Rattus norvegicus: one gene and its partners. The protein of the gene in region 7 purifies or fractionates together with the protein of the main gene of each other region. This does not show direct contact. Links are inferred from orthologs where the notes say so. Each region holds a gene or a part of one and is shown on either strand. Other genes may lie near its edges.

What was found.
Region 1: the proteins of Cop1 (region 7) and Etv4 purify together in Homo sapiens (affinity purification with mass spectrometry; 5 studies listed by BioGRID and IntAct, with this or other methods). This does not show direct contact. The link is inferred for Rattus norvegicus from reciprocal best matches to the Homo sapiens genes COP1 and ETV4.
Region 2: the proteins of Cop1 (region 7) and Cops6 purify together in Homo sapiens (affinity purification with western blotting; 3 studies listed by BioGRID and IntAct, with this or other methods). This does not show direct contact. The link is inferred for Rattus norvegicus from reciprocal best matches to the Homo sapiens genes COP1 and COPS6.
Region 3: the proteins of Cop1 (region 7) and Ets2 purify together in Homo sapiens (affinity purification with western blotting; 3 studies listed by BioGRID and IntAct, with this or other methods). This does not show direct contact. The link is inferred for Rattus norvegicus from reciprocal best matches to the Homo sapiens genes COP1 and ETS2.
Region 4: the proteins of Cop1 (region 7) and Trib2 purify together in Homo sapiens (affinity purification with mass spectrometry; 4 studies listed by BioGRID and IntAct, counting the BioPlex papers as one, with this or other methods). This does not show direct contact. The link is inferred for Rattus norvegicus from reciprocal best matches to the Homo sapiens genes COP1 and TRIB2.
Region 5: the proteins of Cop1 (region 7) and Etv5 purify together in Homo sapiens (affinity purification with mass spectrometry; 6 studies listed by BioGRID and IntAct, counting the BioPlex papers as one, with this or other methods). This does not show direct contact. The link is inferred for Rattus norvegicus from reciprocal best matches to the Homo sapiens genes COP1 and ETV5.
Region 6: the proteins of Cop1 (region 7) and Trib3 purify together in Homo sapiens (affinity purification with mass spectrometry; 5 studies listed by BioGRID and IntAct, counting the BioPlex papers as one, with this or other methods). This does not show direct contact. The link is inferred for Rattus norvegicus from reciprocal best matches to the Homo sapiens genes COP1 and TRIB3.

What each region holds. Positions count from the first base shown.
Region 1 is NC_086028.1:87,219,249-87,223,704, reverse strand, and holds the start of Etv4 (ETS translocation variant 4), read left to right. Parts: upstream 1-1,502; 5' UTR 1,503-1,672; coding exon of another isoform or gene 1,673-1,719; intron 1,720-1,880; exon of another isoform or gene 1,881-2,158; coding exon of another isoform or gene 2,159-2,249; coding exon 2,250-2,309; intron 2,310-2,354; exon of another isoform or gene 2,355-2,499; coding exon of another isoform or gene 2,500-2,502; coding exon 2,503-2,596; intron 2,597-2,802; coding exon 2,803-2,850; intron 2,851-4,456.
Region 2 is NC_086030.1:22,151,206-22,155,510, forward strand, and holds the start of Cops6 (COP9 signalosome complex subunit 6), read left to right. Parts: upstream 1-1,482; 5' UTR 1,483-1,484; coding exon 1,485-1,614; intron 1,615-1,821; coding exon 1,822-1,944; intron 1,945-2,142; coding exon 2,143-2,274; intron 2,275-2,477; coding exon 2,478-2,566; intron 2,567-2,657; coding exon 2,658-2,720; intron 2,721-3,084; coding exon 3,085-3,132; intron 3,133-3,443; coding exon 3,444-3,558; intron 3,559-3,641; coding exon 3,642-3,734; intron 3,735-3,823; coding exon 3,824-3,924; intron 3,925-4,045; coding exon 4,046-4,186; 3' UTR 4,187-4,305. UniProt on the Homo sapiens protein: Component of the COP9 signalosome complex (CSN), a complex involved in various cellular and developmental processes.
Region 3 is NC_086029.1:48,489,610-48,494,069, forward strand, and holds the start of Ets2 (protein C-ets-2), read left to right. Parts: upstream 1-1,447; 5' UTR 1,448-1,672; intron 1,673-1,701; exon of another isoform or gene 1,702-2,059; coding exon of another isoform or gene 2,060-2,131; intron 2,132-4,460. UniProt on the Homo sapiens protein: Transcription factor activating transcription. Binds specifically the DNA GGAA/T core motif (Ets-binding site or EBS) in gene promoters and stimulates transcription.
Region 4 is NC_086024.1:44,275,011-44,278,753, reverse strand, and holds part of Trib2 (tribbles homolog 2), read left to right. Parts: intron 1-1,642; coding exon 1,643-2,111; 3' UTR 2,112-3,743.
Region 5 is NC_086029.1:92,140,598-92,144,340, forward strand, and holds part of Etv5 (ETS translocation variant 5), read left to right. Parts: intron 1-177; coding exon 178-465; intron 466-3,743. UniProt on the Homo sapiens protein: Binds to DNA sequences containing the consensus nucleotide core sequence 5'-GGAA.-3'.
Region 6 is NC_086021.1:161,272,552-161,276,808, reverse strand, and holds the start of Trib3 (tribbles homolog 3), read left to right. Parts: upstream 1-1,275; 5' UTR 1,276-1,443; intron 1,444-2,006; coding exon 2,007-2,282; intron 2,283-4,257. UniProt on the Homo sapiens protein: Inactive protein kinase which acts as a regulator of the integrated stress response (ISR), a process for adaptation to various stress. Inhibits the transcriptional activity of DDIT3/CHOP and is involved in DDIT3/CHOP-dependent cell death during ER stress.
Region 7 is NC_086031.1:73,999,312-74,003,608, forward strand, and holds the start of Cop1 (E3 ubiquitin-protein ligase COP1), read left to right. Parts: upstream 1-1,287; 5' UTR 1,288-1,467; coding exon of another isoform or gene 1,468-1,470; coding exon 1,471-1,544; intron 1,545-4,297. UniProt on the Homo sapiens protein: E3 ubiquitin-protein ligase that mediates ubiquitination and subsequent proteasomal degradation of target proteins.

The DNA of each region.
Region 1 (4,456 bases), on a different chromosome or scaffold from region 7:
CTTTGCTTTTTATTGTAGCTGTTCACCTGACAGGCATTTTGTGCAACTCTCTTGAGTGTGAGGGAGGCTCAAGAAAGGAGTCCTCTTCTGGGCGCTGCAGAGCTCTCTCCGTAACTACATAGGGATTTCTCTAACAGGAAAGAGAATGAAAGATCCCTTGCCAAATATAAGGACTGACCCGGGTTCTCCTGAAAGGGAGGCTCCCTAGAGGAGAGCAGCTGCAGCAAGCTTCAAAGAACTGTTTGGCAGATAAAGGGGAGGAGTTGATGCAGCAGAGTGAGCCCAATTTAGGTGCCAGGGAGTTGATGCCCTTGTCCCACCTCTGACTCCTACAGGCTGCAAGAGATTGCATGTACCTTTTCCTTCTCAGAGCCCCCTCTGCCTTATCTGTAGTGTTTGGTTGGAGAGATGAATTTTGAAAGCAGTATGGTGGGCCTGTGGATCCCTGGGACCGCAGCTAGAGCAGCCCAGACCCCAAGGGAGGTAGTCTTTCTCACACTTGCTTGCCACCTAGCACCATGTCTGGCAAGGCAGCTATTTACCAAAGGAATCGATGAGCGAGTGACAAAAACACCAAGATCAACTTCTTGAACAAAACTGAAACCCATCCTGCCTTTTGATCACCCAGTCCCTTGAGATTTCTGTTTCCTATCATCGGATGCTTGCCTTCAGGTAAGGAGTAAGATGGCAGCCAGAGGGACATCCTTGAGCCTCTTGTTTGCAAAACCGCGAGTGAATGATAAAGCAGGTCACAGATAAAGCGTCTCCACAGATCACAGGCCCTTGAGAAAACCGTTCGAGCCAGTTTACATTTACTGAGCACCAACTGTGCATCCATTTGTTTTCACATAGCTTAATTCACTTAAGCTCTTGGTCTCCGAGGGCTGCACAGAAGACCGCGGTGGCTTTGAAACGCTAATGTCCCGCAGTATTGACAAGCTGAGTTACCTCAGGTGAGGGGCAATGGTGTCTTTCTTAGCTTTCTTCCATTTTCATTTGTAAAGTAAAATGGAAACAGCTCCGCAGCACCACGTTAGGGAAGGAAATTAGCACGTGGAGGCAGAGCGCTTCATAAATGCTCGTTATTATGGTTCCTCTGGGAGCACAAGTCCGTTCGCCTCCCCTTCCCCCCCAGGGCACACAGAGGTGTTCACACTCCCACGTACTTATAGATGCACAGAGGCGTGTGTGCTAACGCCAGCGGGAGGAGCTCAGGGGTCCTTAGACTCAAAGCCCAAGCTGGAACTGGTGGAGAAGCCTCTTTTTTTTCTCAATTCTTTATGAATGAACTAAGGCCGAAAGGAGTTTATTTTTTTATGAATGGAAGTCCAAAAAGTGAATGGAGCCGGGAGCCAGCCCCTACATTCTGATTGGCCCCCGTGGCTGGGAAACTCCGCCCTCAAGCTCCGCTAGCGGAGTCTGAGGATTGGCGGGCGTGCCTGGCCCTGGGGTTTCATTCACAAAAGTCAATGAAACAAAGGGAACCGGTGGGGAGGGGCGGGGGAAGAGCGAGAACGGAGGCCAAGGCAAAGGAAATGCACCAATCAGCTGCTCCCCGGGGCTCACAACTGTCTGCTGCGCCCGGAAAACAAGCCGGGGCTCTGGGGACCCGGGGCTCAGGCCGCCTCGCTCAGGCCTAGCCCCGCCACTTTAGTTGTGTCATCCCCCGGGCATGCTGAGCATCCCCCCACGGCTCCTGCACAGACGCCCCGACCTCAGGTGAAGCTGCGGAAGGGGAAGGAAGGGAGAGTGTCTGTGATTTCCCCGATTCGTCTCCCACACACCACACTCTTTCTGTTCGGCGCCCGCTTCCGCACATTCCGGGGCGGGGGTGGGAGGCGTCGGGATTCGAGGCTGGAGGGGGCGCCCGAGTTATAGGCGTGCGAATGGTGTGCGCCGCGCGCGCTCCCATATACACACTCACACACGCGCACACACACACACACACACGCACGCACACACACGTCTTATGTAACCTAGTCCCGGCTGAGCAGGGCTGCAGAAAGCAGACACGCCGACCCCAGCTCGAGGGAGCAGGTGGGACCTCCTTTGGCGGGAGGGGAGTGGCGGTGGAGGCGCTCGGCCGCGCAGGTCCCAGCGAGTCGGAGAAGTTTCGCTGTCCGATCCAAAGCCTCGCGATCGCCCCCTCCCCCCGCAGCGCTCCCGGGACCGTGTGCGAACTGCCTCCCCCCTCCCAGGTCTCTGCCTCCGCGCGGGGGCCCGGCCCTGTGGCCGGAGGGAGCGGCCGGATGGAGCGGAGGATGAAAGGCGGATACTTGGACCAGCGAGTGCCCTACACCTTCTGCAGCGTGAGCGCCGCGCCGGCCTCCACGCCCGCCCCCGCCCCGCACCCCGCCCCTACTCGCCCCGCAACCCCCTCCCGGGGGGTCTCAGTGGGTCCAGGGCCTCCTGGCCCCTGAGCCACCCCGGGACCCAACCCCCAACCCCAAGCTAGACTCCTCAGGGTGATTCGGGGGCATTCTCCCCCCCTCCTTCCAGCAGAAATCTCCCGGAAATGGGAGCTTGGGCGAAGCGCTGATGGTCCCGCAGGGGAAGCTCATGGACCCGGGTTCCCTGCCGCCTTCCGATTCAGAAGGTAAAGAACCAAACAAACTGCGACCCCTCTCCTTAATCCACACACATCCATCCCAGAGCCCTATCCTGGACCCACATTTCCCCAAAAGTCAAATCACTCATTCTTACTCTGTCCCTTATCACCAGTGGGGAGGCTGTAACCCGGGCACGCCAGGTCTCTCCCCATATTATCTCCACCTCTTCACCAATCCAATATTCACCCATCAGATCTCTTCCAGGATCTCAGTCACTTCCAAGAGACGTGGCTCGCTGAAGGTGAGTAGTTTTGTTTCCTTCCTAAAATTAGAAGTGGGTCGTGGGGAATCTTCTCTGTCTCAAGGAGTCTTTCCACCCCCTCCCTCCAGTCCCTAACCATTTCTCTCTCCCTGGTGCCCAGTGTGGACACTTATATTGATATTTATTTTCTCGCCCTGAGCCAGGCTTGTATAACTAGGCCTGGGGATGAATCAGACTATTGTGTGGGGTATTCGCTTATTTGAATGGAACTTGGCCCCAGGCCTGTTTTCTTTCTTTTTTTTTTTCCTGGTTGAAAATTTCATTTGCAAAGTTTGTTTGGCAGGAGGCGCCTGGCCTAGGTGTAGTGTTGGGGTGTTGAGGTATTGAAAGACAGCAATGAAAAACAGGAGTAATTTATTACCCATCTTCTGGAGTTGCTGGAACATTGGTTGGTTTTTCTTCTCTCTCCATTTCACTTCTTCCTAACTCTGAGGGCCAATTTACTGACCAAGCCAAAATAACAACAAAAGTTTCAATACTTCTCTTCTTGGCACTTTGGCAAAGAAGACTCAGGGCTGCCTCCCCAAATAGCCTTGATTATAATTCCAGTGGCAACTGGTTCTCTCTCCATCCCTCCTGAATACCTCCACCCCCAGGCAGTGCTCCCCTTCCTGTATGCAGGAGGGTTGTGAGCCCTGGCCAGGATGGGGTCAGTAGCCCAGCGTGGGCTGGGTGGGGCAGATGTCCTAGTTGGATTCTAGTTGTTGTGTTTTGGTGAGGTTAGTTAGCCTGAGGGTGATGCTGGCAGGGCTGCCAGTCAAAGGAGGCATGGTGACTTACAGTCCCTGAGATTCAGGAAGCACTAGCACCCCCATCTTCACTAACACCCCCTTTGTGTTAATACTCTAAAAACCCCAGAAACCAAAAGTGAGCACCTTCTTCAGGTCTTTTCTCTTCCTAAGGGGTCTTCATTCTTCCACTGTGGGTGGGTACCTTTCTTTTGGAATTTAAAAGCTCAGATCCACCTCTTGCAGGATTCTCTACAGGAGAAGCTTGGATGAGAAGGAAAGGACCACTAAGTCGGTCTGTGGAATAAGATGAGGTCTGTCTTGGCCACTGTCTGTCTGTCTCTACACACACACACACACACACACACACACACACACACACACACTTATTGCTTTTGTCATTTTTATGATTATTGTGGTGGCGGCGGTGTCAGAGAAGGACTATTAGCATGGAGCTTAGCCTCTGAAATGAGCAATGAGGGTGGAGGGTATGAGTGTAGCATGTATCTTCCTCTGCTTGTATGTCCTGAATGCCCGGCTCCCAGTTGCATGTAGAGCTTTGTTGGCTTACCCCCTTCAGGTTCTGGAGCTAAAGAACTCAGGGTCTCCATGGGCTCTCAAAAAAAAAAAAAAAAAACCCTTTCTTACCACCTAGTTACTGATTTTGGTCTGGCTCTCTGGGTTTCCTGCCCGTCAGCTGAGAGTCCTCACAGTGGCCAGCTCCCCAGTTGTGAGCTGTGGGCTCAGGGTGGCATTTTGGCAGTATTTGGTCTTTTTGAATGACACGGGATGGAGAATGTTCTCTTCACCCAACCATGGAAGCCCCACCCCTTGGTGGTGGGTCTGGTGATAGTCCA
Region 2 (4,305 bases), on a different chromosome or scaffold from region 7:
AAAAAAGAAAGAAAGGAAGGAAGGAAGAAAAACAGGCTGTTATTGGCCCCAAATGAATGACTGTGGGCCAAATGCTCTTTCTTGACTTTTTTTTTTTTTTAAAGATTTATCTATTACATATTACAAGTACACCATATCTGTCTTCAGACACACCAGAAGAGGGCATCAGATCTCATTATAGATGGTTGTGAGCCACCATGTGGTTGCTGGGATTTGAACTCAGGACCTCTGGAAGAGCAGTCAGTGCTCTTAACTGCTGAGCCATCTCTCCAGTCCCTTTTTCTTGACTATTAAAGGAGGTTGCTTAGCCTCAGTTATTGATCCAAGTGGGAAACATACTTGTCTTAATCACTGTTCTATTGCAGTAAAGAGACACCATGACCAAGGCAACTCTCCCCCAACCCCTATATTGTGAGAGTTTGTGTAACCTTGGCTGTGATGGAATTCACTTTGTTGGCCAGGCTGGCCTTGAACTCAAGAAATCTGCCTGTCTCTGCCTCGCTAAGTGCGAGGATTAAAGGCATGGGCCACAAGCCTTCCCAGTAGCAGTCACTAGGTTGTGTAGAATCAAGTTGCCTTGCAACTGAAGAAGCAGCTGAACAGTTGGAGTAATCCACTGGGGAGACGGCTCGGGGGATAAAGTGCTTGCTTTGTAAGTGTTAGGAACCGACTTTAGATCCTCAGTTCACCGTTTCAATATTTTTATTTATTTGTTTTATATGAGTACACTGTTGCTGCCTTCAGACCCACCAGAAGAGGGCATCAGATCTCATTACAGATGGTTGTAAGCCACCATGTGGTTGCTGGGAATTGAACTCAGGACCTCTGGAAGAGCAGTCAGTGCTCTCAACCACTGAGCCATCTCTCCAGCCCCCCTGCTCACCGTTTTAAAAACAAGGCAGGCTGGGCACGCTGCACACCTTGAATCTCAGCACTCAGGAAGTAGAGGCAGGTAGATCTCTTTGAGTTTGAACTCAGCCTAGATGAATAGCAAGTTCCCAGCCAGCTGGGCAACACGGTTAGACCGCAGTTCAACAAACAAGTGACCATGTCACTATAGATTATATGCAACGTGAAAAATGTTATATCCTTAATAAATTACAGCGTTTCCTCTTTTTGATCGCAATTTTCTCTGCGTCTAGTATTGACAAAGTATCCCCTTTGAGACCTGGAAACTAACAGCCCTACTTGGGAGGTAAAGGCAAGAGACCAAAAGTTCAAAGTCATTCTTAGATACACAATACAGAACTCATGGCCAGGCCGGTTTTCATGAGAACCGGTAGCAGCAACACAACACAACACAACACAACACAACACAACACAACACAACACAACACAACACAACACAACACAACACAACACAACACAACACAACACAACACAACACACTGAGAACCATGGGCTACCAAGTACTGGCAGACGCCCCGCCCATTAGCAACACAGAGTACACACTGAGCATGCGCCGCTCGCCGACGGAAGCCGAGATGGAAAGGGGCGGGCCGTGGCTGGCGGGCGCGGGGAAAATGGCGGCGGCGGCGGCGGCGGCTGCGGCGGCGGCGGCGGCGGCGGCGAACGGGAGCGGAGGCAGCAGCGGCATGGAGGTGGATGCAGCAGGTAACGGGGTGCAGGGAACGACTTCTGGAGTCGCCCTTGCGGAGTGTCTTGAGTACTTCTTAAGCCCGGGAGAAGCGACATCTCTCCCAGGATAACTTGAGGGCAGGGATGAACGGCCCGGCTCTACCGGTCCTCTGCTCCCATGTCTAGGGGAGAATGTGTGGGCCCGAACTCTCACCCGCTATGTTTTTCTTTCACTTTTAACAGTCCCCAGCGTGATGGCCTCCGGAGTGACTGGGAGTGTTTCCGTCGCTCTTCATCCCCTTGTCATCCTCAACATCTCAGACCATTGGATCCGCATGCGCTCCCAGGAGGGGCGGCCTATGCAGGGTGAGTGTTGTGTGTAAATCTCAAAATTTCCTCTTGGAGATCTCCTCTTGGAGATCTCCTCCAGTCCCTCCCCCCGCCCCCTTTTCCAAATTACTGTTTCCCCAGTCATTAATACACACTGACTTCAGAGTCTCGGGAAAGGTTTTCGATGCTTGAACCTCACCTATTTTCCTTGCACTTCTGCTTCTCTCTCCTTAGTGATTGGGGCTCTGATCGGGAAGCAGGAGGGGCGAAATATCGAAGTGATGAACTCCTTTGAGCTGCTGTCTCACACCGTGGAAAAGAAGATTATCATTGACAAAGAATATTATTACACCAAGGAGGAGCAGTGTGAGAAGGGAATAGAAGTGGGCGGGAAGGAGAAGTGGGGAGATTTTTGTTTTGTATTTAGAATAGAAAGGTATAGTTATGCTAAACTGACCCAAAATTTGAGGGAGGGAGGAAGGGAAAAGCCGGTAAGGAAACACACCAGGTCCATCAAACTCAGGAAGAGAGGTTTAAAGAAATATTTACTCTGGCCCCTTCTTCTCCAGTTAAACAGGTTTTCAAGGAGCTGGAGTTTTTGGGTTGGTATACCACAGGGGGGCCACCTGACCCCTCAGACATCCACGTCCATAAGCAGGTATAAAAGCTCACATGTGTGCATGTTGGGGAAGAGAACAGAAGGTTATGGGAAGAAGAGATACTGACTTTTTTTGGGCTTTGTCTTCTAGGTTTGCGAGATAATTGAGAGTCCTCTCTTTCTGAAGTTGAACCCTATGACCAAGCACACAGATGTGAGTATTGTTGACCCTATGACCCCTTTGTCTTGATCATCTGCCCCTATATGCCTCTGCTCTGATTTACTCTGTGACATCATGTGTATTAGAGAACGCTTGAGTTGAATCTCCACGCTGCTGTTTACTTACGCCCATCAGTTGTGTAACTTCATCTCTTCAGTGGTGTCGCCATATGTAATGTGGGTAAAACTTACTCCAGTAGAGAGAAAATTGTGAGCTAAGTGTGGCAACAACACTTGTAATCAATTTTAGCACTCAGGAGATTGAGGCAAGAGAATTGTGAGTTCAAAACCAGCCTGGCAAGTTCAAGTGCATTTGCTTCTAGTAAGAGCTGTTCTCTTGTCTCCGTCTGTTTTTACAGCTGCCTGTCAGCGTTTTTGAGTCTGTCATCGATATAATCAATGGAGAGGTAATAGTTACCCTGCAATCTTCAAATCCTGCTTTAGCCTGTCTCCTAAATGCTGTGCACATGTGCACAGGCATGGGGCAACCCTGGGTGTTTGTCGTAGCTTTCTACCTGGAGACAGAATCTCGTGTTTGCCAGGCTGGTTGACCTGTGAGCTTCTGGGATTTGTCTTCACTTCCCATTTTGCTGTAGAAGTTCTGGGATTATAGACACATGCTGCCACATCTTGATCCTTAGTCTCGTGCAGCAAGCGCTCTACCCACTGAGCCGTCTGCCCAGCCCTGTTTCCTTGCTGAGAACCCTTTACTCTGCAGGCCACAATGCTGTTTGCTGAACTCACTTACACTCTGGCCACTGAGGAAGCTGAACGTATCGGTGTAGACCATGTGGCCCGGATGACAGCTACAGGCAGTGGGGAGAACTCCACTGGTAAGGGGGTTGAATTCAGTTCTTTGGAGGTATGGGTTGGGTGTGGCCACTTGCTACCTTTCATTTGTCCTGTCCCCCTGCAGTGGCTGAACACCTCATAGCTCAGCACAGCGCCATCAAGATGCTGCACAGCCGTGTGAAGCTCATTTTAGAGTACGTCAAGGCCTCTGAAGCAGGTAGGAGAGGTACCTCACCTTTAACCATCTTTCCTCCCTCCTGGAGAAGTGACAACATCCACATCAGTGCAGCCTCATTGTGCCCTTAGGAGAGGTTCCCTTCAACCATGAGATCCTGCGGGAGGCCTATGCCCTATGCCACTGTCTTCCAGTTCTCAGCACTGACAAGTTCAAGACAGACTTTTATGATGTGAGTGTTAATACCCTTGATGGGGAGGTGGGGCTCACAACCACCTCAGGCAGGTGAAACTCAGTGTCATTGGCTAATATGAGGGACCCCTGGGGAACTGGTTCTTTCTGTTCCCTCCCAGCAATGCAATGACGTGGGGCTTATGGCCTACCTCGGCACCATCACCAAAACGTGCAACACAATGAACCAGTTTGTGAACAAGTTCAACGTCCTGTATGACCGACAAGGCATCGGCAGGCGGATGCGGGGACTGTTTTTCTGATGAGGGCTCTTGGAAGGGATGCTGTATGGGGCTCAGACAACTGTGCCACGGGACTGAGCACTTTCCCCTTAGAGAAACTCACTAATAAAGAACAGCCCCTTAGCAGCCCTTCCAGTGGC
Region 3 (4,460 bases), on a different chromosome or scaffold from region 7:
AAGGCCTTCCTGGACCAAAGAAGTCTCAGAGTACCCACGGTCTCTGGAGCAGAAGAGGTGGGAACAGGCGGTCCTGTTTTGGGTACCTGAGCTTCAAGAGATCCCTATGTGTATCCATACCAAGCTTCTCAGGCACGTGGTCAAGGTGTGAGCATAGGTGCGGGGAGAGAGGGCCCACAGACACACTCCTTCAGATAAGTCCGTACCTTCTGCTGGTTTTTTTTTCTTTCCTTCTTTAAGTTAGCATATGCCGCTCCATGTCTCCATGGAAACGGAACAGGGAATCTGTCTTCTATTTAGGGAGTTCCTCCTTGACCTGGGTTCTCTGGTCCAGACCTGAATTCACACGGAGAAGCCCTGAGGAAATATCAATCCCCTGTGAACCTAGCTGTTTTAGCTTAGTGGATTGGGCCTTGACTCCTGCAAAGGTGATACACTAGAGAGAAGTATCAAATGCAACAGTATCTTGATTGGCAACAACTTCAGAAGGGGAGTTGCCATGGAAACCAGGAACCCTGAGTACAAGGGAAGGTGGGACCTTCTACTCCCTTCCCAGCAAGTCTGTCCTTGTACCAATCGTCGGTCCCGCGGCCTTGACTAAGCCTGCCATTTGCAATTTCCTACAAATCTCGGGTATCGATCTAAACTCAAGGAGGAACGCAATAATATTGAACGTACACCTATGCCTCCGGACCAATCACATAGGTTTCCAATCATGGACTCGGCGCCTTCTCACCAAAAAGGAAACCACCCTCTGGCTGGTGTTTTGACCATGAGTTTGGGAGAGTCACGTTGGACTTGGCATGTTGTTGACCTGGCAGACCATGTTAAGTAAAACACCAGTGCTTTGAAGCATTAGTAAGACTAATAATAGATGGCGCCGGAGTGCTCAGCTAGGTTGGCGCTAAGACTCGGCTCAGCCCTAGGGGGCGCTATCCACACCTAGGTAGTAGGAGGGGCCTCCCAAGACTCAAGCGGCTGCGCCACGTTCTGCTCTTCCACTCGCGACTCCGCCACCCGCCCACTTTGTGCCTCCCTAACCCCACGTAAGAGTCTTTTCACGTCGGAGGGACCAGAAATCAGGACCCACACGTAGCTCCAAACACAGGACCGGTTCTACCGCAGAAGCCTAACCACTCAATCCAAGTGCCACCAGGGCCCCCAGCTTGGACCTGCAGACGGCCGTGCGCCAGGGAGACGCGGGCGGACACGGCCCTGCCCTTCTAGCTGAACCTCCTGGGCACAAGGCCCAAGCTGGGCCTTAGGAGCAGGGGCCAGCAGGCAGGCGACAGCCGGCTGCAGGGGCGCAGGGAAGGGCCCGGGAGCAGCGTGGATCCGCCGCTGCGGGAGCACACTCTCCTCCCACGCCGGCCTCGCGCTTGCTCCTCCTCCGCGCTCCCTCCGTCACCCCTGCTGTCCCCTCCCCCGGTCCCCTCCGGCCCTCCCCCAGCTCCAGAAGAGCGCGCGGCCAGGGGATCGGGCTGGTTACTTCCTCCACCGCGGTGCTGAGCACGGAGTGGACACCACTAAGGCCCGCCAGTCCCTGCCACCGTCTCCGACCCCGCGCGCCCGTATCGGCCCTACGCCTTCGTCTCGCTGGGCCTTGCCGGCCGGGACCGCCGCGATCTCCTCTCCCCGCCGCCCTCCGGCTGGCCCTGCTTGCTGCGGCGCGGTAAGAGCGGCCCCCGTGCGCGACGTTCCTCGGGAGGGACTCCGCCCGGGGTGGGGTGCAGTGCGGGCGGCCCCTGCTCCCGCCGGTTGATCGCGCGCCCCGGAGCCTCTCCAGCTGGTTCCTAGGCACCCAGTGGCCTCAGCCGGGGATCCGGGAACCGGGCCGGGAGCGGGCAGCCCGCTTTTGTTTTAGGGAAGCCAGTGGTCGCTCTGTGCGGTTCCTGCCTGGGGCGCGGGTCTGTGTTTCTCCAGGGGGCTTGAGACACCTGGAGAGATGGCCGAAGTAGCCCCAGGTTTGGGGTGACTTGAGTGGGAGAGGAGCTAGGCCTGGGAGGATGTGGGGGTGTCCGACGCCTGAAACACCTGGGAAGTTGCGGCTCCCGGGAACATGTCACCTGCTCGGCCAGCTCTCGGTTCCCCTGGACCCTGGGAAGCCAGTACGGGACACGTCCAAGTAGGGGTGCGCGTGGCTGTTCTGCTTTTATTTTCCCCGTAGAACATATGAATGAAGGGGTAACCCGAAGCGTTTGCATATTTGACCTTTTTTTTTGGTTTTAATTTATTATTTAATCTCATAAGACTTGTACTAGCCTGCACTCAATTTCAGGGGAGCCTAAAATAGTAGTTGACTCGCTACTAATTTAGAAAGTAAAGCAGTGTGCAGTCCTGGTTGGAGACAGGAGTCATTTACTGTTGAGAGAGAGACTTACTCCCTGCTGTGAAAGCTCCTGCGCCCTTATCAGTCTGCCCACAACGCCAATCGGGAGATACATCTCCGTGTTAAGCTTTTATTAAAATCTGAGTAATCTTGCAGTACAGTTAATGTGAACACCGCGCATCCCACAGGGAAATAGTCAAACTCTCATATATGGAATTAGTCATTCATCTCTCTAAACTGATCGCTAAGCGAAAAGCAAACCAACCTTCAAAAGGTTTTTTTTTCTTTTATTTTTTTTAACCTAAATTTTACCTAAATACAAACCTATGCTCTTTTATGTAAGTGATTACCTGTTCCAATAAGGATACAGTTATCCGGGAAATTCTTGTTTCAAAACTTAACTATTCTCAGCCATTACATTTCTGCCATTTTCTTCCATTTCTTGTACACCCCCCCCCCAACCAAAGTACCAAAAAGCTCTAAACTTGAAAATTGATTTATCTAGAGTCTTGACTTGTCCCAGGGGTTAGCAAGCACATCCAGTAGGATAAATGGACTTAAATTTGATTAGCCGCGTGTCTGCCTGAAGCCATTTAGTAGAGGGCTTTAATTCTACATGGTTTTTTACAAAACTCATTAAAAGCCAGGCAACAAAGGAACCCTGTTCTGTAGCCAGTAATTACAGCTCTTTATGTGGGAGTTTGAGCCTCCCTTTTCTGCTCCTGTTTGTACACAAAAGGCAGGGGAGCTCTATTCTAGATCTCCAAAGCTATTCTCTGCCTATCTCAGAAGCGAAGAATCACGGTGAAGTCCCCAAGTGTCTGCACATTGGGACCACAGAAAGCGCTATCCGACTGGCCCTGGAGGGAACATGTGGACACCTCTGTCTGTGTCGCTGGTTTTCTGAGGGTGGCTTGTGTTTAATCAACAGGTTACAGGGCTGACTTCATCTAAGTAGGCGACCTGAAGTTCTCAGTTGGCGGGCATTTCCTAGGGCTGAAGTGTGACAGAAAGGCCTGGTTTAATCATAATTGCACACTCTGCTTCAGTGGGCTGTGGTAGGCAAAGCCCACTCAGCCATGGCTAGGATTTAAGGCCCTACTGATCTGAGGTGAACCTCCATAGACACCCCCACAGGAATGTGACCCGGGCCAGTGACTCAGTATCATCGGGCCTCAGTTGTCTCGGAATAAGGTGATTTTCCTTTTGGAACCCGCGCTCAGGAGGATTGAGGACGTGGGACTTGGTCTTCCCATCAGGCATTCTGTCTAGCCTTCATCTGTGAGGAATATTGAACATTCAGTGAGTGTAGCTAAATAATATACCAAGGGAGAGCCTGAACAAATATGCCTTCTCTGGAGACTGCACAGGCCCTGCTGTGACCTTACCGGGAAGGTGGCTCCTTCAATTCGTCTCAGCTTTTCTGGACTATTCTAACCCAAATCTGCAATCAGAAGCCTCCCCCAGGATTCCTTTCTGCTCTCGATGCCTTCTATCAAGGTGTGAGTGTGCACATGTGTGCACTCACTCGCACATGCTGCACATGTCGGTATAGGCATGTGACTAGTATGTGTTAGTAGGGAATTGTTAAGCCATCTGCCATTGGCCATAATGTTGACTATAAAAAGACACAAGAAAGGGGAATCAAAGGAAGTTTAAGTAATTCTTTGAGGCTATGCTATCTGCTGCCTCTAGTGAGTTCTATCAATTGCATGCTAATTTTAGTGACAGTGTGTGGTTAGCAGGTGGGTGCGCATGAAGGAGAGCGGAGGGTGGGGGCGGGTGGGGGTGGGGCTGAGGTTTGCACACTCCACACCATGGAGCTATTGAAGGCTCCAGTTCTGTAGCTCAGAGCCTGGAAGACAGGAGCTGCCGTAGAGTGATGGTGTGTGGAAATGAGGTTCGGTGACTGGGTCCGTCTAACACTCTGTTACTGTTGAAGGGCCTTCCTTTATTTAGTGTGTCACTTGCTTAACTCGTAACTACACGTTAGGGCCCCAGAAAAAGAAAATTTCAGACCCCTGCAAGTCACATTTTTTTTCCTTCAAAACAGTCTTAAGAGGTCAAATTGATTTTACCTCAGTCAACCTAATGTATTCACAACATTATATAAGCACAAAGTAAATATCCA
Region 4 (3,743 bases), on a different chromosome or scaffold from region 7:
GTAAAATTTACCATATTAAAATAAAAGCAGTCCTCCCCAAATAAACCACACACACACACACACACACACACACACACACACACACTGCCTTCTCTAGTACTCCACTTTACAGGGAGGTTGAGAGACTTAGCTGAAGCTACACAGCTAGTGAGAGATAAGTCTGACTGGGAGTCTACACCCCTGAAGACCACACTATCTAGGAAAGCAATCAGTGCTTGATTTTTGAAACATGTTCATAGGAGATCCTAGAAGAAACGCATCTTTTGTCAACTCTACTACAGAGCTCCCAGCAGCTCTGCTTAACTAGTTGCTATCAAGGACTTTTCAGACCACCTTGAGAGACAGATCTGCAGGTAGAGGGAGGAAGAAAAGAGAGAAGATGGGAGGAAGATGGTCTTGGGCTACATGCTGTGAGTGATGACCAAGGTGGCCCTGTTGTAGTTTGCCCAAACACTATTTTGAACTCGACAGCTTGTGTACTCAAGCAGGACGAATGCCTGGTTGTGTGTACTTGTAGATGTGAAGAAGTAATGTGAATTTGCAGGTCTTTTAAGTGCCTCAGAGGTCCAACTCCAGCTCCAACTGTCCTTAGCTCCCATCTTAGCAGGACTCTAGGAATGTTGTGAAAACCGCCCACTCAAAGGATGGTGCTCCTCTCTGAGAGAAGAGAGAAGGATTTTCATTTCAAACACAGGGAAGCAGTATGTTTACCAGTCTCATGAAGCCCAGGCTGGCTTCCAACTTGCTGTGTAGTTCAGGTTGACCTTGAACTCCTGATCTTCTTTGCCTCTGCCTTCCAAGTGCTGTGATTGCAGGTGTGTACCCCCATGCCTGGCACCAGTTTGTTTTGCACTAATCTGATTGATTAAAGAAGTCATCTTATTTTCCAGACTTTTTATTTTCACAGTATATATCTTTATTTCACACTCAACGATGATGCCATGGGGGCATGTCATGCTAATGGCGTAAGCTGGGTGTTGAGGCCTCAGAATTTCACATGCATTTCTCCAGCTTTCCCAGCACATCTAGGGCTTGCATGTTTGTATGGATAAGTTGCTGGGTTCTTGAAAAGCTGGTGGATTGGGGGAGGTGGGGTGGGATAAATTGTTTGAAAGGACGCTTAGGGTAATACTGCTATTGTCACACCCATCTACCCAGGTACACAGTCACATGTGAACCATGCATCTGTAATTAGAGAGAGGTGCCAGGTCAAAGACCCCCGGCTTTGGGAGTGTGACAGGCAGGAAAGGGCAGGTGAATATCTGGAAATGAAGATCAATTTGATATTCGTATGCTAGGCTTAGATGAGTAGGTTGTGGAGACTACTTGAACCGAAATTTTCCCTGACTCTGCCTGTGTCCTAAAGAAAAGCGGTGGGCACAGCTAAAGAACCAGAAGGCAAAGTTAGGCATTCTTATCCACCTCCTAGCTAAAAGGCTTCAAGAAATTTACCCAAGTCTCCATATTTAGTATTCTACATTATCAGTGACATCCAACTTTTTACATGGATGGATGGATGGATGGATGGATGGATGGATGGATGGATGGATGGATGAACACACATCAGCAGCCCTGATATACTGATGGGATGGATGTGTCTCCCTGATCCTTAGGAGCTTCTGTCTTTGTCTCTTTCTTACAGGACTCGTGTCAAGCTGGAGAGTTTGGAAGACGCTTACATTCTCCGGGGTGATGACGACTCCCTCTCTGACAAGCATGGCTGCCCAGCATATGTCAGCCCAGAGATCTTGAACACCAACGGCAGTTATTCGGGCAAGGCAGCGGACGTGTGGAGCCTGGGGGTAATGCTGTACACCATGTTGGTGGGGCGTTACCCTTTCCATGACATTGAGCCTAGTTCCCTCTTCAGTAAGATCCGCAGGGGCCAATTCAACATTCCAGAAACTCTGTCTCCCAAGGCCAAGTGCCTCATCCGAAGCATCCTGCGACGGGAGCCCTCAGAGCGGCTGACCTCACAGGAAATTCTGGACCATCCTTGGTTTTCTACAGATTTTAGTGTCTCAAATTCGGGATTTGGTGCTAAAGAGGCATGTGACCAGCTGGTGCCAGACGTCAACATGGAGGAGAACTTGGACCCTTTCTTTAACTGAGCTTAAGGCCCAGGGACACATAGCAGGTACCAGGAGCGAGAGAGAGCTCCAGAAAGGAGTTCTGGGACACAGGTGGCCTGGCTGAGAAGCAAGACGGACCCATCATATTTACACATTTCTTGGTTCAGAGAAGGAATATGTTCTAGGAAATGATGGAACATGTAGCATGGGAACAAGATGTGTGGGATGGGGGTTGGGTTCAGATGGACGGGAGCCCTTCCCCTAAACTTCTCTTCCCTTGGGTAGCCTGAGAGTCCCCCTTACCAGTAGGGCTATCTGGTCTACCCCACTTTTCATTTTGTTCAGAAATAGTTGCAGATCTCGATAGAATCGAAACTCTTCTGCCTCAAACACATACCTTGGCATTGCACTGTTAGCATTTAACTTCTTGTTACGATTCAGGGAAGGGACAATTGATCGAAGATTTTTTTTTTCGAACAGGCCAACCACCTATGTAATAATTAATAGGATTCACCTAAAAAATAATAATAATTCGGTGCACACAGACTGACCTGAAACCTGGGTGCTAAACTAAAAGAAAACAAAAGTTCCAGTTGTCGTCTCTCATCCACACTTTCCAATTCATTTCTTCTAAATAAACAATTTCCTATTCTGGTTAGGAAGTGACATGTTAATGCTTTGCTCCCTGAAGGGGGAAGGGAAGTCTATTCCTTCACAGACATTTCTGTTTTGTATCAGCTGGTTTTTGTAGCAAGAAACTATATGAAGTCAAACTTCCAGATACATTATCACAGTCCAGGGGATGAAGAAAGGAAAAGAGAAAAATACAACTCCTTTCTGGTTTTTGTTCTTTTGAAGGAAGAGGGTTCACATTGTAGACATTGCTCTCTGCTCCAAATACGGTGAGGGGGTCCCAGAGGGCAGGCGCCTCCTGGAGTCAGATCTTTTTGATGATGCTGATCTCAACATTTTGTTTTTGCTTTATGGGAAACTAGTAAAACAAGACAGGTTGTCCCATGTGTATAAAATACAGGGCAGCTATTTCCTTTTCTTTGCTAAGAATGATCCTTTGGGCTTGGAAAGGCCCTCTGGTTTGAACAGAAGGAGTAAATGGGCAATAAGCCAAAAGCCAGGATGATATACATACAAACAGCTCTCTGTCCCAATACGCACCTTGTATTTATTAAGGAAAATGTCACATTGTGATGTATCAAGCCAGTACTTCAATTACGGGTCAATGGGATGACATGTTACATGCTGTAGTTTAACATTTATAATTTTATTCCCCTGTTTTGAGTATATCTGTCCCTGGAATAACCTTTTATTTGGCTCTCTCTAGATAGCCTTATTTGATTTCGAGTGGCAAAATGTTTTCCTTTTGTATTCTGGCTTTTTTATTGCTGTATGATACAGAACTCTTTTGGCATAAATATTTGTGTTCCCAGTACCTCAGTCATTTGGGTTTTACTGCTTGCATATGTTTTGTGAAATGGTCCTGTTTTTGGGTAGGTAACACGTGGACTCTAGTATGTAAATGTTACTTGAATCTGTGCTTCACTCTCGTATGTGGCATGTGTGTGCGGACTCTTGGATGCTTCACGCCTACTCCACTGGAGCCCCTGTCCCCAGGAGGGCAGCTTCCCCATTGATAATCAGGGGACAAAGCTGCCA
Region 5 (3,743 bases), on a different chromosome or scaffold from region 7:
GCCCTGCGTTTGTCACTTTTCTGAGGTACAAATATTCCCCTGGGCTGTAGCGATTTCACTGTGTTAATGATGTCATTTCCTGGCAACAATGGGCTGCAAACTGGTGTTCTGCTGGGCCTGGTTACTATGCAAATGCTTCTCTGCAGCTTAATGGAGCTTCTGTCTTTCTTTTTACAGTGCCTACGACAGGAAGCCTCCCTCTGGGTTCAAGCCATTAACCCCGCCCGCCACTCCTTTGTCACCCACCCATCAGAATTCCCTATTTCCCCCACCTCAGGCAACTCTGCCCACCTCAGCTCTTGCCCCTGGAGCCGGCCCAGTTCAAGGGGTGGGTCCTGCCCCAACCCCTCACTCGCTTCCAGAACCTGGATCACAGCAGCAAACATTTGCGGTCCCCCGGCCACCACATCAGCCCCTGCAAATGCCAAAGATGATGCCTGAAAGCCAGTATCCATCAGAACAGAGGTGGGTACCACCCTGCACTAAGTTTCTCCTCTCTCATGTCCTTTTCTCATCACGAGAGAGGAGCAGTTGGTCACATTGGCCAGGGGTCTGTAAAGTTCTCACTCCATTGACTCTTCAGTGGAGTATGGATGTACTGTGGGTATGGCTGACTATATAGTACCCTGTTACAGAGGTTCTCAGAATGGTTTCTAGGATTCTTAGGAAGCCTGTCGACGCGCTTCCAGCCAGGGTGGAGGGGTGACTTGCTCAGATGCACAATCAACCCACCAGTTTCTGGGCTCCTGAGAGACTGCCCGTAAAGCTGACCTGTAGTGCATGCCGCTTTCAATCATGCTATTACATTCTGTTTGCATCCGGGGAAGACTCTGAGTTACAGAAGCCAGTGTTTTTCACATGTTAGCCTATTTCTACGATAAAATGAGCTAGAGAGGTTAGTGATAACACCTGCTTTTGAGGTAGAAACTTCCTGGTTTCCCTGTAGGTCGTTTCACGTGTCTTAACGGTTGAAACGTCTTGGTTAATTATCCGGAGTCCTTCACTCATCAAACAGAAAGGTAGAGAGGGATCCGGCTTTCGACGTTCATCGTGCTGGTCTGGAAATGCGGCCAGGTGTGGACTTACTCATTACATGTCAGACGCTTTTCATCTGTGTTGACAGTGACTCATCAGTGGTGTTAGCGAGGACAGCAGGATGGGAACCACCACTCTGCTGGGGGTGGGCCGCACTCGGAGAAGGAAGGGCGCTGATGGGTTCTACTTGGCGTCTGTCTAGAGGTTTTTCTTGCTTCTGGTCCTGTCCCCACTTCTAACCCACAGGATGCAGTTGACTGATAGTCTTTCCCATAGTCAAGCCAAGAGCCACAGAGAGGCAGTTATGCTATTTAGAGCCCCCGAGGTGATCACCCATCTGGGGGCGCCTGAGATTTGTGATACGGCAGAGACACTGGTTCATGAGTTTCTCTTGCCACACAGGCTGCGTCTGAAAGAAAACAGCCGCCACCAGGCTTTGGCGGTGTCATACACTCATAACCTTGTTCTTTGTCAAGAGAATCGATATTCTTATGAAAAAAATAAGACGTTTGGGTCAAAAGTGGTGAGCTTTTGCCGTTTTTATTCTGGTTTGGGTGTGTGTTTTTTAAACAGAATCTCACTGGTTTCGTGCAGGAGTTGGTTATTAATGGGGGAGGGGAAGATGCTGGGGCGAATTTGTTCGGTATTTGAAATGCCTGGCAAGTGTAGGCATAGGGAAATTGCCTTGTTAAGTCCTTTTGATTAGCACCTTCCTGTCTACCCTCGTTTCTTAGCCTGAGCGATGTGACAGTTTGTATGAATTGGCCTCACTGGAGGAGACCAGGCATCAGTTGTAGAGTAGACAAGTCTCCTGGCTGCCTACCCTCTAGAAAGGAGATTCAGGTCCCCAGGATTTATGACTATCTGCCCTCAGGTCCAGAGGGAAAGCGTGTAGGTGTCCTTTCCAGATGAGTCTTTTGTGAAGTGGCCTATCTGTCTTGAACTTCCTGCTTCTTTTCCCTTGACCTGTAGTAATGATGGGTGACAGAGACTCTGGAAACCTGGGGTGAAAGGTGAGCTAACGTGTAGGCTTCTAAAATGACACAGTAAGCAGTACTGAGGTGCTTGGGGCTCCCCTAGAGCACTGCAGCCTCGAGGCTGAGGGTGCACACAGGAGCACCCCCCCTCTTCCCACAAGGATGTGGAGATAAAAATCCAGATCCCAGCAGGGAGAAGTTGCTCGGCCTGAAAAGTTTTCTGTGAGAGCCTGAGTCGGAGTCTCAGGCCCCTGTGAAAAGGCCAGGAGAAATCCCTAGGGCTTGCTGGCCAGCCTGCCTAGCGTGGGTGGTGGGGTCCAGGTCCAGTCAGAGACCCTGCCTTCAAAAAACAAAGTGGAGAGAGCCTGAAGTTGACCTTCTGTGTCTGCCCACACTGTATGTTCATGCGTGTGCCCTTGTTCTGCTGGAGACTGAGTTGGTAGAGCTTCAGCGAGGCTATCAGTCACTTAGATAAACTGTGACGAGGGCTCTGCTTTGCCTCAGCCCCTCCCAGCCTGCCCTTGTTTAGTGTAGGTTATTCTGTAGGATAAAGGGAATACAGCTCTACAGCCAAAGCAGAAGTCGGTTGTCATTGTGTTTTAATTTTTCGGTGAGAAAGCAAATCGTGTTCTGTATGCATAGGATTGTTTTTGAATTGCAAACAATCCACAAGGATCACTGAAAAGCTGAGCACCCTGGAAGGGGCCATTTTGTCCTTGACCTTTGCTCTTCTCAGTGTCTTTGAAGTTCCTGATTTATCTCCCATGGGTAAGATGTCTTTTGTTCCAGATAGGCCCAACCTGTTCAGACTGCATCTTTCTCTTTGGACAGGATGTTAATGGCCTTCTGCGTATTTGTTGAGAGTGGCGGTCACTTGCTGTAGTCATGCTTTAAACAGCTAAAATAAAACACAGTCGCCGTATATTCTTAGAGTTTCATGTAATCTACCTATATATCTCTTCACAACTCAGTTTATTTTCGGAAGATAAATACTGTATTTGAAAGCAGTGTTTTATATTGGTGGTTCCTCCCACACGGTGTGGGAGGGGATCATGTATTTGGCGTGCTACAGCGTGTTCCATTTATACTCCTTAGAACTCTTTAGTTTTTCCTCTGGCCAGACCAATCTTGATGGTCATACTTGCTGAGAACTTAGAAGCTGTATTCTACCCTCAACACGTGGGGGGTGGGGGTTGTTTCATTTTTTTTGTTTTGTTTTTTTTTTCTTTTCTTTGTATTGTATCTCAATGAAGAAAGCCTCACAATTTAAAGAGGCTTCACAGAAAATTTTTTTAAAAAGTCCCCCATCTAGGAATTTTGAAATACTATGCCGTCTCCCACACTTGGCATCAAGAAAAACAAAAACTAAAGACAAAACTTAAGAAAATGTCCCTATAGTAGAAAAAAAGGCAAAACAAGGCTGCTTTTGCATGGTACACAGGAGCATCCGGTAATGTGGTTGGTAACGGTGGTCGGTCACTGAAGGAAGGTCACCCAGGCATCAGGAGGTCAGCCCCGGGATGGGCCACCAGCAGGGCCCTGTAGTCAGTACTTTGTGAAAGAGGAGAGTACCAGCTGGTTGAGAGCTGTCTTCCTGCTGTGTGATCTGGGCCTGATACCTGACTGAGCTGTTTTCTCCAACTTCGATTGCATAGAAACCATGATGCTCGATAAGTTACAAGATTGACTTCCTCTTGGAGTCCATCCCTGACAAACTCATTCACTCACCAT
Region 6 (4,257 bases), on a different chromosome or scaffold from region 7:
TAACAAACGCAGCCCTGCCTCCCTGTAGCTCTTCCTGGAGGAAGTTTGTTTTTGACTTGAATAAACTCAAGTATCAAGATATAAATTAGAGTATCGGGAAAGGCACTGGGCCTTTGGGGCTTTGCCAGGGTGGAGGAATGGAGGTAGCTGTCACCCCTTTGACTAGTCTCACTATGTCTAGCTTTGGCTGTGGCCGGAATCTTGTTCTATCCCTCCGCTTGCAGCGCCCGGCGGCTCCCTCCTATTTACGGAGTGCCTACAAGTCCCATAGACTGCACTCTGATGTTCCTGAGGATTGGACTCACTGCCTACCTTATGCTAGGCAAATGTTTTGTGGCTGAGCTACGACCCTTCTCGCGTCTCCCGCTGCAGCCATTACATTTCTTTTAGCTTGATAACAAGGCCTTTAGTCCCGGTCCTGGGGGAACAGAAGCAGGTACATCTCTCTGAGTTCGACAGCAGCAGCCTGGGCTACAGAGTGAGTTTCAGGCAAGCCAGAGCTGCATCAATTCAGCCTCCTGCCTTAGGCTTTCTAATAACTGAGATTCTGGACGTGCATCACACCCAGCTGTTCTAAGAGCTTTGCACACACGAACTTACTGATGCTCACAGCAACCCTATGAAGAGAGCAGCATTTCATGGAGAAGGGAGCTGAAGCTCTGCTTCCTTTGGTTGTTTTTGGCTTTGTGTTCTCACAGAGTCACACCGCTAGCGAGTAAGGTGCCAAGTGGCTTTTCTGAGCTACAGATGAGTGTGTACTTGAAAGGGTTGCTTTGGAGGGAAGTTTCCCAGGATTCAGAGTGGGGCTTCTAGCCCAGTCCTTAGTGGGGTGTGGAGGCGATATTTGTTTTTTGTTTGTTTGTTTGTTTTGTTTTGTTTTGTTTGTTTTTCGATACAGTGTTTTTCTGTATAGCCCTGTATATCCTGGAACTCACTCTGTAGTCCAGGCTGGCCCCGAACTCAGAGATCCACCTGCCTCTGCCCGACTACGGGGTAGAGAGTGGAGGGGATTGATGAGATTTTTAAACAGCCTCCGTTCATTCCTTTTACCACTATTCTCATTTTATATATGGGGAAATAGGTGTAAAGTACTGAATAAGGAGAGTCGGTGGCTCCTAGTGCTACTTCAGGAGCTGGAGGCTGGAGGAGGGGGCGTGTGGCTCCTAAGGTGAGGGCGGAGCACACTCGGCGACATGGGCGGGTCAGATGGTGCAATCCCCGGCCTCTGGGCGTCAGCAGCAGATTAGCTCAGGTTTACATCAGCCGGGCGGGGATCGGAGCCGGCGTCCCGGTGCCGCAGCACTTTAGCAGCGGAAGCGGCTGCTGTTGAGTACGTGACGGCTGGGGTCTGGCACGGGCGTGCTGGGACTCCGAGATAGGCTCAGTGAGGCTGGCAGCGGTCCACGGGCGCGGGCGCAGGCGGCTCTGAGACCTCAGGACAAGGTACCCAGAAGGGAGCTGCGAAGGGGGTTTAATAAGAGGTCTGGCAAGAAGGTTGTTGGGAGTCAGGCATATTCATAAATATTTATATTCTCTCTCTCTCTCTCTCTCTCTCTCTCTCTCTCTCTCTCTCTCTCTCTCTCTCTCTCCCTCTCTCCCTCTCTCGTTTTCTCGTTTTCCCGTTCTCCTACTCGCTCTCGCTCTCTTTTGCTCACTCTCACTCTTCTCACTCTCACTCTCTCGCTCCTTTACTTCGCCGTCTGGGGGCGCCCAGAGCCCGAGCCGTTGCCCCCAGCTTATTATGCAGCCCAGGCTGACCGGGAATTCGCCATCCTCCTGCCTCTGTCCCCACGGTGCTGGCGATACAGGGGTGCCTCTCTATGCCCAGCTTTCCTTATTACGTTAAGTCTTCAATTCGTCGCGGGTTCCTTCCCTCTCTAGCAGTCCTTGCATTTGAGAGCACTATGTTTAGTGAGCTTCAGGAAACCCAGTGTGATATTTCGCTGTCCGGAGGGTCCTAGCAGGGAAGACAAAGTACCAAACAGCCTTTCTTCCCTTCTCTCTAGATGCGAGCCACATCTCTGGCTGCTTCTGCCGATGTTCCCTGCAGGAAGAAACCGTTGGAGTTTGATGACAACATTGATGTCGAGTGTCCAGTCTTAAAACGAGTGAGAGATGAGCCTGAGCCTGGACCAACCCCCAGCCTACCTCCCGCCTCAGACTTGTCACCTGCTGTGGCCCCTGCAACCCGGCTGGGGCCCTATATCCTTTTGGAACGAGAGCAAGGCAACTGCACCTATCGGGCCCTGCACTGCCCCACAGGCACAGAGTACACCTGCAAGGTATATCCTACGGGCTCTCCCCCTAGCATCCCAGGACCCTGCAAAAGGCCTGGGATCCAGAGGACTGCCGCTTTCTAGCTTTGTAGGTTATCACTGGGTTCTTCAACTGACATGGAGCACCACACGTACAATGTACTTACTTGCCTTGGTCAAAAACCAGACCCAATCGGGGTGTGGTGGCACATGCCTGTAATCCTAGCACTAGAGAGGCTGAGGCAAGAGGCTTGCTCTGATATTCAGGCAAGCCTAGCGTACATACTGAGAACCTGTTTGAAAATGAAAAAACAAATCTAGACCCAGTGCTATTGCTTGCACGCTTGTAATTCTACACTGGGAAAGTGGAAGCGGGCAGGTCTCTGGAGCCAGATAGCTGGTCAGCCAGCTAGCCTATTCAGGGAGTTTGTTCAGAGGTCAGTGAGAGACTCTATCTCAGGTAGAGAGGAGAGAAAGAGAATGAATAAAGAGCTGGAGACATGGCTCAGTGATTAAGAGTGCTTGTAACTCTCTCGGAGACCCAAGTTCTGTTCCTGGCATCCGCTTGAGGCAGCTCGCCACTGCCTATATAATTCCAGGGCTCTGACCTCCTCAAGCATCTCACTCGTGTGCACATACTCATACACAGACAGACAGACAGTCACACACGATTAAAAATAAATCCTGGGGCTGGGGATTTAGCTCAGTGGTAGAGCGCTTACCTAGGAAGTGCAAGGCCCTGGGTTCGGTCCCCAGCTCCGAAAAAAAAAGAACCAAAAAAAAAAAAAAAATCCTAAGACAAAGATGGGATGGAATCTGAGAAATGACAACAGAGGCTTTCCTCTGCCTGCCACAAGAACACACACACACACACACACGTGCACACTTACACACACATGTGCACACACACACATGTGCACACAGCAGAAGAGCATGGGCAATGATGGAAAAGAAGCTGGTGTCAGTGGGGAGGGAGAAGCAAAGAGAGGAGGAGACACGTAGGGATGCAGGGGAGCATAAGGCAGTCTGGGAGGGCCTCGAAGATGATAAAGGGCGGCCGTGTCAGAAGTTGAAGGAGGCATGGGGAGGAGGGTCCAAAGGCAGTGTGTCCCCGCTGTGGGTATAGGAGGCACAAAGGGCCAACCACATTGATACTCACCTTTAATTGCAGCACTTGAGTGGTGTATTTTTGTAAGTTCGAGGCCAGCCTGGTCTACCTACTGAGTTTCAGGACAGCCACAGAGACACAGAGAGACCTTGTCTCAGAGAGCTCACCCCTTCTCCTGTGCAAAGGTGCCGGGACAGGACCAAGCTCTGGGGGAGAAAGAAAGGGTAGTCTGTGTATTTATTTCCTCCGTGCTACCCTAGATCTTTCTTTTAAGGTCCCATGGTTCACGTTTTACAGCACACCTGAGTTTAAAGTCAAAAGCAACAAAGTGCCACATCAACTCTGTGACACTAGCTTCTAGCAGGCATCCAGGGTGGCCTCTCACAGGCCACTTCCTTTTTCTGAACTTTGGTTTCTTTCTCCATCATAACTGGGCCCTCCTTCCAGGTGTTTGTATCCACAAACTCTGAGCTGTTCCCAGCTGCCTCATGGCCCACCCATATGACTGCCTCCCTCGTCCTCCTGGCCACCTTCGAGCTTTGCCTGCAATTTGAGAACAGGTTGATGTCTTGATTACCTCAGGGCCTTTGCACTGCTTGTGCCCCCAACACAGGGGAGCTTTTTCCTGTGGTGTCTTTGGATCATTTGGGCCACTTTTCCTAAGTCAAGTAGGTCCACATTTTTTTTTTTTCTGAATCAGAGTCTCACCTGCATAGCTCTGGCTACTTTGTAGACCAGGCTAAGCCTCAAAGTCAGAGAGCCACTGCCTCTGCTTCCTGAGTCCTGGGATTAAACTACAATGTCAGGATGGCACTTTTAAAATAGGTGCTCCCTTCTAAAATAACAACCCACACTTTCCTAGTAAAGACTAGTTTAAGTCCGAGATTGCAATAT
Region 7 (4,297 bases):
CTTTTTTTTTTTTAACCAAATGTAAGGTTCATTTTTTCCATGGTGTTGACAATGTGGTTTAGATTAGAATTTTTTTTCTTTTCTCCCTTTCTTTAATCTACAGCAATTGGAACAGATCCAGAAGGAACTAAGTGTTTTGGAAGAGGATATTAAAAGAGTGGAAGTAAGAAATCAAGAAATTCTCACATTTCTCATAGTTTTACTTAACATAATTTTACTCATAATTTTTACTCTCATAATTTTAATTAACAATTCAGTTGTGCAGGGAGACAAAGTCTGAATACTTTTTGAAGATAAATTGTAATCTAAATTTATATTAATATGCATTGCAGTAATTCTTGATTAAACAGAACAAAATTTGGTCTAATTTTCTTTTTGCAGTCCAATTAAATTAAATAATTTACTACTAATCCTTCATTATTTCCTTAAGATGATTCATTATTTCATCCTTTATTAAATTTATTTTTACATTTCTACTGCATATATTAATGTATACTAATGTTAATTAAAAATTATATAAATACATTGGCACTATTGTTGGAATTCATAATAAAATACAGATAACGTACAGAAATTCATGGGAAATTCATAGACTATTGTGAGTCGAGGTCACTAAATCTGACTAAATTTAAATTTAGTGTGCTCTCTTAATTCACACATGTCATTTTCTTTTGCTGACATAAAAACATTTCAAAGGATAATGAATGGTATTTAATCGGAATTCAGTATGCCTTTTAATATTACTAATTTATTATATTTATATTACCTGTTTAGCTATTTTGAGCTACGGCAGAAATAATTTTACCTGATTATGCATCTATAGTTGCATTTTCAAATTTGCTACTTTTCCATCAATGAGAACATTCCACATAAAAAGGCCAGTTGTGAGATTCAGAGGCATAATTTATAATTTATATGACCATCTTTGATTAGCCCCTTTAGGTTAAAGAGCAAAAATTTATGTCATTGCTAAACAAAGTCAGTATTTTATTCAAGGATGTTAATTTTTTTAATTACTTGTAGATTACTCCTAGAGAGTGGCAGACATTCCCAGTTTTTGTCAATTTGGAGATTTGACTGTTGTAATCTAGTCACCATCTCTCGTCTCTTTTATCCTAATATGCGATAATAGATCATCCCTTGTGTGAATAGTCAGTTCACTGTGTGAAAAGTACACTGCATGTCCTTTTGGATGTATTTCCTTTGGGCTTTTCTTCATTTGAGGCTTTTTTAGTTGGAGCATTATTTATTAGGAATTATAGTTCTTTAACACTAGGCAAGGCTTCCTTTTTGATTTCAGATTAACTTTACTTTTGTACTCTATGAAAGGTATTTTTGAGAAGTTTGAAGACAAAAGGGGACTAATAAAAAGCTGAGGCTAGAACAGACTATAATGCTGTACGCTTGCTTGATTTATACATCCTCTGTTTGGACTGTGTAGAGTAACTCATATACTTACAATTTCAGGAGATGAGTGGCTTGTACTCCCCCGTCAGTGAAGATAGCACGGTGCCTCAATTTGAAGCTCCTTCTCCATCGCACAGGTACAGAGCTTTACATCAGTAATTGTTGGGAATTCTGCATTAAGTGTTCATGGGACCGTAGTTCCCAGGAGCCTTGTTAATGAAGATTGTGACACCACTGAGAAATAGGGTGCAGAGAGTCAATCTTTACTAAGTTACTGGGTAGATATTGCAGTGTTAAATTTACACATGGATTAAAAGTTTGGTAATTTTTTTGATGTTTTTAAAATTAATGTCAGATATTAAATCAAAATATGGGAACATGAAATAGTAATAAGAAAAATAAGATAAAAGCTTTGATCCTGGCACATACATGCCTTTAATCACAACACTCAGGAGGCAAATGCAGGAAGATCTCTGTGAGTTTGAGACTACTCTGTCTACATAGCAGGTTCCAGGCTAGTTAGGGACACACAGACCCTCTTTTGAAATGATAATGAAATAAAAATTTAAATCTTTTTTATTCCAACTTAGTTTAATTTTAGTGGTTACTTTTCCCAGCTTTAAAAATGAAAGTATTAGAAAGACATGTTTGTTTAAGTCTGTCTGTCTGTCTGTCTGTCTGTCTCTCTCATTCATTCATTCATTCATTCATTCATTCATTCTTTTTTAATGTTTCTCATTACTATCCTGGGCTGGCCTTGAACTTAAAATCTTTCTGCTACAGGTCAACTGGCTTCCCAAGTGCTAGAGTACTAGTATTACAAGGTGTGTACCACTATACGTAGTATAGCCTTTTTCTTGGTGAGGGGGTGAGTGCAATGGTGTGTAAAGGAGGCTAAGAACATGTTGTGTTGCCCAGACTAGTTTCAGACTCACAATCCTTCCATCTGTCCTTGTATTCTTCCTAGCTTGGGAGATGGAAACCTGAGGATTAGGAGTTCAGAATCACCCTTGGTTACACAGCCAGTTCAAGGCCAACCCAGGTTACATGAGACCTTGTTTCCAAAATTCAAAAATAATTAAACTTCATACTATAAATTATAAAATCCTCCTACCATTACAGCAGGGATTATGTTATGTATAAAATAATTACATATCTCTTACCCCACCTACCTCCCTAGATTTTAGAAATAGCTTTATTTGACTATTTATAGAATACAAGAAACAAATGATACCTTTAGCTATAAAATTTATTTTATGAAATAAGTACTATCTAAATAAGAGCAAAAGCCAGCTTAGCTAGTAATTCACCTATTTCTTAATTTTTTAAAAGCAATCCTAAAGACAAGATCTGTTATCACTAATCCTGTCATTCACTTTCTGATGTTTGGTGTTCTTGACAACAGGGCTATCTCCCCCGACCCCCTTGGGGTTTTGTTTTTTTGTTTGTTTGTTTATTGTGACTGAACACAGGGAAATGGTTCAGCATCAAAAACATTTCAATAATAAACTGGTACTCCATTCCCAATTTCATGTCACTCAGTTTTTTAACAGAAAGCATTGTTTAACTATTCTATTAGTCTATTAGGTTTTATGAATCTTGAAAATTTGTTTATTTGTTGAATGCCTCTCATTAGAGATCAGGCAGTTTTTTTGTGTGTGCTAAATCTTGATGACAAAGCTTGTGCCTTTATGGAGAGAGTCTAGTTGTCTACAGTCACAGGAGTACATAACATAAATATGGAGCCTTCAGAAGAACAGGTTAGCAGGCTAGATGTTTACAAGAATATTCTGTTTTAGGTAGTTGAGCTTTTCCGAGAGATGACAACTAGTGGGATGAAGCCGAAACGTGCTGGAAAACCAGTGGGTCTGATTAGGGTTTTAAAGTGCTTTCAGTTTCCGTGTGAAGAGAAAAAGGGCGTGTTCCTGACATCATACCTTTGGAAGCAGGGAGAAAACTTAGAAAACTTACGAACGAAGAGTGAGAGCTTGGGCTATGATTTTGTTGGTGACTGTGGAAGGTAGTTATTAACATGGAGACACACACCTTTACTCCCACTGCTGAAGAGGCAGAGGCAGTGGGATCTCTGTACTCAAGGCCAGCCAGGGAAGGCTATAGGGAGAGACCCTGTGACTCACCAAACAAAACAAAATGTCCAAAACAAAGCAACAGGGAAAGGAATGAAGGAGCAGACTTTGAACAAGAATCTCAGGTAGACTGGGTTGGGAATCTTACACATTCACTTGCTGTATTTTAATGTGGTTTACTGATTACTTGGAGTAGAGATTAAAAAACTAACTGGGTGCTTTTTTTAGAGAGTGCTAGAGATGAATTACTTTACCTTATGCCTTGGGGAGAGGTTGAATTGATGTCATAGGCATGAGAAGACATTGAATTGTAAATGAGTATAGAGAATACTTTTCATTGCCTGCTTATTAATTATCATTAATAATATTGATAGGTAATAAAGTACGAGTTAGTAAAGTTCTTAAAACTTTAATTTTCTTTCTTTACAATACTTGAAGCATTTACTTTAAGTCAGTTATCCCAAATTTAGATTGTACCAGCTAGGCATAAAATACAGTGAAGATACTATGACATAATTACGAATATGACAGATCACTAGACCCTATTCCCATGATTATGCTGTCTTGGGACAGGAAGTAATTTGTCTTAGTAAATTAATTGTTTTGCTTAAAGTACAGAATGAGTAGAATTTTTGACTCCAAGAGTTTAAGTGTATCAAAACTCACTTTCCTCTGAAATTATAACGAACAAACATTTTCTGTTAGTTATTTCAGAACTTTTTTAAAGTGTGTGTGTGTGTGTGTGTGTGTCTGTGTGTCTGTGTGATGCAGATATGTGTGCACAGATGAGAGTGCTGTGCATG